Solanum lycopersicum: one gene and its partner. The protein of the gene in region 1 binds, or shares a complex with, the protein of each later gene. Links are inferred from orthologs where the notes say so. Each region holds a gene or a part of one and is shown in the gene's direction. Other genes may lie near its edges.

The links. Proteins that work in one complex are often made in the same cells at the same time.
Region 2: lethal leaf spot 1-like protein (region 1) and pheophytinase, chloroplastic share a complex: the UniProt entries of both Arabidopsis thaliana proteins name them as parts of the SGR1-CCE-LHCII complex. The link is inferred for Solanum lycopersicum from reciprocal best matches to the Arabidopsis thaliana genes ACD1 and PPH.

What each region holds. Positions count from the first base shown.
Region 1 is NC_090810.1:57,602,789-57,606,947, reverse strand, and holds the start of lethal leaf spot 1-like protein, read left to right. Parts: upstream 1-1,286; 5' UTR 1,287-1,375; coding exon 1,376-1,795; intron 1,796-1,888; coding exon 1,889-2,124; intron 2,125-2,454; coding exon 2,455-2,581; intron 2,582-3,454; coding exon 3,455-3,591; intron 3,592-4,001; coding exon 4,002-4,159. UniProt on the Arabidopsis thaliana protein: Catalyzes the key reaction of chlorophyll catabolism, porphyrin macrocycle cleavage of pheophorbide a (pheide a) to a primary fluorescent catabolite (pFCC). Works in a two-step reaction with red chlorophyll catabolite reductase (RCCR).
Region 2 is NC_090800.1:78,700,284-78,704,614, reverse strand, and holds the start of pheophytinase, chloroplastic, read left to right. Parts: upstream 1-1,466; 5' UTR 1,467-1,763; intron 1,764-2,293; 5' UTR 2,294-2,328; coding exon 2,329-3,051; intron 3,052-3,400; coding exon 3,401-3,627; intron 3,628-3,920; coding exon 3,921-4,112; intron 4,113-4,211; coding exon 4,212-4,331. UniProt on the Arabidopsis thaliana protein: Alpha/beta hydrolase dephytylating specifically the Mg-free chlorophyll pigment (pheophytin), yielding pheophorbide. No activity on chlorophyll. Belongs to the chlorophyll catabolic enzymes (CCEs).

The sequences.
Region 1 (4,159 bases):
TTTCTTTCTATTCAATGAAAAGAGATAATAATGAGAGTCTGTTGAAACTGGCTCAGGAGAAATTAGCATGTTTGAGAGTGATCCAGGAGCACCCTAGCTGGCCTGGACACCATTGTTATCGAAAACTCTGGAGGAAATTTGCATGTTTGAGAGTGTGATCGAGGAGCGTCCTATCTAGCTTGGACACTACTGTTTCAAGAAAAATTGTTCTTTTAGAGATTTTCAGATATGTAAGTGTGATGTTGCTTTATTGTTCAGAAACAACAATATGTAATATGCTGCGTGGAACGGGGCTAGAATTTTCAGTAAGAAGTTTGAAAATGAGGGTAAAAAGAAAGGGAAAATTGAATTTTTTTTCCCCCCCTCTTTTTAATGATTTGGTTTAAATGGAAGAAGGCACTTACTTTCATACCAAATTCAAGTAAAAGAAAAGGAAAACATTGGTGGGAATTGGGAATAGAACTAGATTTTTTTTTATGAATAGAAAAAAAAAGCAAAGAAGAAAATTGTTGCTACTAGGGCGTGTTTTGACATATTTTCCATATTTGGTTGGTGAAATCTTTTAAGAAAATGACTCTTTTATTACTGTACTGTATTGTTAAATTTATTATTAGATAACATTGAAAAATTTTTATTTTGTATAATCATCAATTTGGTGTGACTGTATTATAATTTTATTTTTCTTTCTTCTCATTTTGTTTAATAATTTTATTTCATCTTTTTTTCGATCTTAGATCTATCTTATTTTCTTGTAAGTATTGATTATGACATTCAATCGATAACGATAGGATATATTAATATATTTTTATCAAAATAATATATAATGTAATATGCTACGATATGATATATTATGAAATTATACTAAATAACTTATCTAAATATTGTGACATTTCAAGATCATTTTCTTTTCCACTCCTTAGTCCTTACTCCAAACACATGTTAGAAATATATTTTTTTAAAATTTTGAGTTGAAAGTGTGTAATAGAAATATTTTGCTATTGACATTTAACCATTGATTTTATCTCCTCTTTACTTTCACAATTATTATCATGTGTAACCTAATCAAATTTGAATTTGTGTCACGTTGAGAATAAAGAGCTCTCTAATAAAAATACGATTCCATATTCGAATGAGTCAAGCCTAAGAACTCTAACCAAATAAAAGAAGTATTTACCACTCCGCGTTAACACGGTCTCTTCTTCTCCCTAAAGCACCACCACCACAGCTTTCATTTTCTGGGCCCTCCCTCACAAACCACAAAACTCATCAAATTCCAATTCAAACACATTGTTCATAACTTGCACGCAAATCCTTCTTCTTCTTCTTTACTTGAACATATGTGTATTAGTAACACAAAACATTGATTAACTCAATAATGGTTTCTTCTCTGTTACTACCAACTCCTCAAATTCTTTCAATTTCATCTTCCTTACAGTCTTCACTACCTTTCAAACCTCATAATTTTCTTCAAATTACAAGGAAAAAAAATACGCTAATTTCATCTCCTCTTAGAGTAGCTGCACCTCCAACAACAACAACAGCTACTGAAGAAGAAGAGAAGCTAGATTCAAAATCTAGTGATATTGAAGATACAGAAAATGATGAACAAGATTCGTCGTCGAAATTCTCTTGGAGAGATCATTGGTACCCAGTTTCATTAGTGGAAGATCTCGACCCGAGTTTACCCACACCGTTTCAGCTACTGAATCGTGATATAGTTATCTGGTTTGATAAATCTGGATCTCAGTGGGTTGCTTTGGATGACAAATGCCCTCATCGTCTTGCTCCTTTATCTGTACAAATCCACTTCTCGATTTTGCTTGAGGATACTTTTTATATGTGTTTTTAGCACTCCTCTTTAAAGTTTTTGATGTATGGGTGTTTGTAGGAAGGGAGATTAGATGAAAATGGTGATTTGCAGTGTTCATATCATGGATGGTCATTTAATGGATGTGGTTCTTGTACAAGGATACCTCAAGCTGCATCTCAAGGACCTGAAGCTAAAGCTTTTCAGTCTCCAAGAGCTTGTGCTACTAGATTTCCTACTATGGTTTCTCAAGGATTACTCTTTGTTTGGCCTGATGAAAATGGATGGGAGAGAGCTCAGGCAACAAAGCCGCCCATGTAAGTTTCTGAATAATTAATTAAACTAGTTCGAAGTTATGCTATATTATTATATATTAATCTCTACTATAGTGACTTGGTTTATATTATAATACTAATCGATTATCTTTAGTACAATGACTTGCTTAAAATATGTTCTTCGTATTTTATTTAAGCTATTGCTGGATAATGAGATTGATTTGGTAGCTCACTTGGTTGATGCCCTGCATGTGTGGTTGAAGAATCGAATCCCATTCCCCTACCTATCGCGTTGATCAAGATATTATAGTTGGTAGACTTGAGTATACTTTTAGTGGGATTTAAATTTGTTGTTTAATGGGATATTTGTAGGTTGCCTGAAGATTTTGATAAGCCTGAGTTTGCAACTGTGACAATTCAGCGTGATTTGTTTTATGGCTATGACACTCTCATGGAGAACGTCTCTGATCCTTCTCACATTGATTTTGCACACCACAAGGTATTTTTTGCAACATTTTCATTCCTTTTTGGCTTCTAATATAGTTAAGAATCCACTTTCAGACCTAAGGTTTTATCCTTACATGCTAAAAATGAATAGTCTTCAGGGTTAGTTCTGAGTTCTCATAAGCTACGGGTTGTTTGGTTTTTGATTTCCATGAAAATATGAACTCAAACTGTTTCACATGTGAAAAAAGTGAACTTTTGAACTCTTAAGCCAAGTAGCTCGCTGTGCTTGGCCAAAACATATATAAGGTCGTTCCTTGGAGGATTTTCTCTTTATCTGGAACGGTATAAAGGTGTAGCTTTTGAGTGTTGCTCATTGTTTTATACAAGTTTTCATAACCTTACTTTCTGTGCAATTATTAGGTAAAAGCCATACTTGGAGAGCAATAGGTAGAAGTACGCCATGGGAATCTTAACTATCACTCTTATGACTTCAGTGCTACTTTTATCAATTTATGGATAGTTTTTCGATCTTACCATCTTAAAAGATGAAGCTGATAGGATTAGGCTATCCGGAGTGTGGATGCTGAATAACATGTTTTGACTCTGGATGTTGCTTCATATTCAGCTGACAGGATTAGGCTCTCTGGAGTCTAGATACTGAACAGCGTGCCAGACGATCCTTAAAATAACCTTTACAGACAATGTTGTGTGTATCTATCTGTAAATATAAATTTCAGAAAGATCTGAAGTAGAGCTTTCATCTTTTCAGTCGCTAAACGACTTTATTATTAGCAAAGGGCTTCATGTATCAGATAACAGAATACGGTGTATATATAGATGTGCATTTTTACTAGAGTGATACTGCTGCTGCTTGCTTGGTGTCCAACAACACATGTCTCTTAACTTACTTGTTGATATTTTACAGGTTACTGGAAGGCGAGACAGAGCAAAGCCCTTGCCATTCAAGATGGAGGCATCTGGACCTTGGGGTTTTGCTGGTGCGAACAATGATAAACCAAAAATTACTGCAAAATTTGTCGCACCTTGTTACTCAATGAATAAGTAAGTTCATCATCCTAAAGTAGATCAAATTTCTTGACTATCAAGGCAAGCAATCATGTATAAATTAATCATCTTTAGGTAGATATGCTTGCATCACATTTCTCTTTCTCCTACTTCACAGAGTCTGTTATCTGCTAACAAAACGAGACATTAGTAGCATTATGTATCTATACTCTTATGGTTGTGGGCATTATATCCTGTTCAAGTCGGGTTCTTTAAGGTATAGCTTTCCAGACCAGGTGCATGGTTTGTACAAGGCTTTGCGCATCAATAGATGGAAGTTCGCTTTGTTGTTGGTATACATGTCTTTATATCTTTGTATGAATTACGTTTTATATGTAAATGTTAGCTCCATCCATGCTGCAACTATTTGCATAGTATGACTAAGATCTCATTGGAAAATTTTCCAGAATAGAGATCGACACAAAGCTTCCAATCGTGGGTGATCAGAAGTGGGTGATATGGATTTGTTCCTTTAATGTACCTATGGCACCAGGAAAGACCAGGTCAATTGTTTGTAGTGCTCGAAACTTCTTCCAGTTTACAGTGCCTGGGCCTGCTTGGTGGC
Region 2 (4,331 bases), on another chromosome or scaffold:
GATTCTGCTTGTAACTTTGAGTAATCAAAACGTTAATTATTATAAAAGGTAAGGATATATTTATTTATTGTAAGATAAAGAAATAAATAGTGTGTAAAATAGGATATAAACAAACATGAAATAAACGAGGGTGTTTATCTAAATATTTTTATGGTCCCTCTTATTTATTCACAAGCTTATTTTCCCCTCTTTGCCTTTGAATTTTCCATTTTGATGTGCCTCCTATAATATCCATAGATAGTCAAAAACATAATTAATATCAGTGAATATAAATTAAACAAAAATATAACAAAGTTCAATGTGTGGTAAAATAATATTGCCAAACAAGTATATACTCAAAAAATATAAATCAAACAAATGAGTAACATAGTTCATTGTGTGGTTTGATGATTTTTATCACATATACATAAAAGTTGCTAGATGCAATTTTTATTTTGAAAAAAAAAAAACACAAAAATGTAGTGACTAGAATTAAACTTGGGACACAGTTGCTAGCGAAGGAGTGGTGTGAGACAAGAATTTAACCACCATGCTAGATTAGCTTTTGTGTATAAGGATGCACAAATTAATATATTATCGTCATTTAGATATTATACATGTGTACCTTTATAGGAATTGAATGAAAAAATCATCGATCATTATAAAATAAAACTCATAAAACATGTTTTTTTATTTTTCAAAAGACATTTTTTAAAATACTCACCTAATAGAGTCGTGAACACCCTGGAATGAGTAATAACCATATAAATAACATGTAACGCCAAAAAGTTTGAAAAAATTGACCAGAGGTGGCCCTATTGAGTACACCTCAATTTTTTAGTACAAATTACTATAGTAATGTGCGAATGATTTTTTATGATAATTTTTTTAAAATACTTTTTTATACATAAAAAATATCTTTATAATAATGATAAGTTAAAGTAGGCATTTGGCCATATGATATCATAGTATTGTGAGATGAAATCAGCATTTAGACATGCGATTTTACATTAATTCTATTTCATGATTTCATATTCTCTAGAAATCATAATATGGAATCATATGGGAATATCATATCATAATTTGAGATATTTAATACAAAAATTAATCCACACGTTTATATTTTGTTAAAACAATGCTACATTTATATCTACTAACTATTTATTTTACATGTAAATAAAATTATAGTTACATCATTACATTTTAAAATTTATTGTTCACACCAACATATAGTCACTTTAGGTCACACTTCACGATCATTGAGTAATAAAATCTTGAAGAACCCGTGAAAAGTGCTTCATTTTTAGATTGAAACATTACTTAAGTGGAGAACAAATAATTTTATAATAATTTATTATGCAATTTTATAATTTTTTATTTAATTTGATAAGATTGAATAAACAATTGAAGCAATTTTAATAGTTTTAGAAAACTTATGAGATTTTTACGATTACGTAAGAATATACAATATCAAAATTTCATCTCGAATATCTAAACAAAACTTTAATTGCATCTCATAATTTCATATCATGATACTATATCGCATGACCAGACCGCCCAAATCTACCATTTTGTTAAATATCGTCATTTGTTTTATTTTTTCTTGGTTTCTAAATAGATCCCACTTTTTTAAGCAATCTCTTGTCTGGACTCTAGATTTATGTAGAAATATATAACTAACTGAATGTTAAAAAGAATAAGAAAAAGCAATTCTAAAATCCCATATCACTTCTCCTAAGCTCTTGGAGATTTTGCTCATAATTATCTTAGAAAACTGATTAAAGGTTAGTTGGCTTTCAATTTTTTCTTTCTAGTTTGTTATGGAATTGTGAAATAATGGTCTTTTAGGTTATTGATTTTTAGCTTTTATTGGATGTTTAAGTTGTAGAATTTTCAAGTAAGGTTCAATATTTGCTCAATTTTTTCGTTTTCCAGATAAGGTTGATCTATTGACAGATTCAGGATTTGAAGTTTGTAGTTTGGGATTTAGATCTTTTGAGTTACTGAATTCTAAATTAATAACTGTACATATTAAATGGATTTTTGTAATGAAAAAAAAAAAATTGAGTTTGAACCAGAGTTATTGGGTTCAATAAATGTGTTCACATCATGAAAAAAAATGAAGGTTGAATTTTTTTGTTGTTGTAGAAGAATATGATGTTAGTTGATTTATCTTATTAGCCAAGTAATAATAATTAGATGTGAAGAAGTAAATTACTATATTGTTGTTGAGTTGATTGCATTACTTTCCTGTATTTTATTAGTATTTGATAACAACCTAAATGCTTTGTTTTCAATGTATTCTTGATTTCAGGTATTCATTTTAGATTTTAGAAAGCTGACTCTGGGATGGAATTTTGTTCTTTCTATTCGACACCCTATTACTGCGTTGTAAATGTTAAACCGAATGTGATTCAAAAATGCCTAATTTCAAATCAGACAATGTTTTCTAGACTAAAAGAAAGAAGATTGTGTTCTGGTTTAGATGTTTATAGCGTAGAGAAAAATAGGAAGCGGAGATCTTGCACTGTCGCTTCTGTTAAGGGGGTTGACAGTGTTGTTGACTCAAGTCTCTTGAATGAAAGCTATAACACAGATGTCGTGGATGGGAAAGTCGGTACAGAAGGTGTGACTAGTAGAGGTAAATCAGTACCAAAGGTTATGATTCCTAGTTTACCAAGTGAAGCTAAAGGCGATGCTGTTGCTGTGATTGATAGCTGTTTGTGGGAATGGAAGCCAAAACTGAATGTTCATTATGAGAAATCTGGATGTCAAAATGTTAACTCCGCGCCAATACTTTTTCTTCCTGGTTTTGGTGTTGGTTCCTTTCACTATGAAAAACAGCTAAAGGATCTTGGTCGTGATAACAGAATATGGGCATTGGATTTTATTGGACAGGGAAAGTCATTACCTAGTGAGGATCCAACTTCGCGGTCAAAAAGATTAAATGAATCGGAAGGTGATGGAAACAATGTTCTCTGGGGTTTGGGGGATGAAGTAGAACCTTGGGCAAAAGAACTTGTCTATTCTATTGACTTATGGAGGGAGCAAGTACGCTATTTCATCGAAGAGGTACAATTTCTATCTTTGTCCTTGTGTTTTTTCCCTCAAAATTGGTTGATCTGTAGATTAAGCATTGTCATTGATGTATTGCTAGTTTTTTAAATTCATGTTCGTTCAATACACTGGCTCGTAATGAATGCTAGAAGATGAAACTAAAAATATTCATACAAGGCTTATGAGTACATTACAGTTGCAGTCCTGACAATTTGCTATAGTATGCCAGAATAATGTTCCTTTGGCACTACTTGTTTATTTTTGTTCGATTTAGGCTATGGAACGATGGGCTTCTCAATAAGTTTCCAAATTGTTGATTGGTTACTAGGAACAAACTATAAACTTGTATCCTTTGGTGATGCAGGTTATTAAGGAACCAGTCTACATTGTGGGAAATTCACTTGGTGGATATGTTGCCCTCTACTTTGCTGCATACTACCCTCAATTAGTGAAAGGTGTAACCTTGCTGAATGCTACGCCTTTTTGGGGATTTCTTCCTAATCCTGTTAGATCTCCGAGATTATCTAGATTATTTCCATGGGCTGGTACTTTTCCTCTGCCCTCCAATATCAGAAAGCTCACAGAACTTGTGTAAGTGCCCTGACTTTCTGTTTTGATTATTTAGTTTCCTGATCCTATAAACTTATATACCGAGTAATAGGATCTTCTTGCCAGCTATACATTTTATATTGGTTAGCATCAAGACGATGACCAAATGATGTGTTGTTACATTTTGCAACTTATGCTGAAAAAATGAATCGTTCTTGGATAATTTGATGTTCTTTCATCATATAATAGAGGGACATTATGGATTGTATCCTTGTTTTTGGGTTTTGTCTGGTTCTCAAACTTATCCGTCTGTACGCTTCATTATGCTTCTGTAGATGGCAGAAAATTAGTGCTCCCGAGAGTATCGCAGAGGTGCTTAAACAAGTTTACGCTGATCATACCACAAAAGTAGATAAAGTTTTCTCTAGTATTCTTGAGGTAACAGAACACCCTGCAGCAGCTGCATCCCTTGCTTCAATAATGTTCGCTCCTCAGGGACAACTAAATTTTAAAGAGGCACTGACTGGGTAGGTAAAGCAAGTAGTATTACATAGCCGTGTCATTTGGCTTGCATATGTTTTCTTATACAGTAACAAAGCTGAAATCTTTCACCTTGCTATATCTAGGTGTCGAATGAACAATGTACCGGTCTGTCTCATTTACGGGAAAGAAGACCCCTGGGTGACGCCGATTTGGGGTTTACAAGTTAAACGTCAATTCCCTGAAGCTCCATATTATCAGATTAG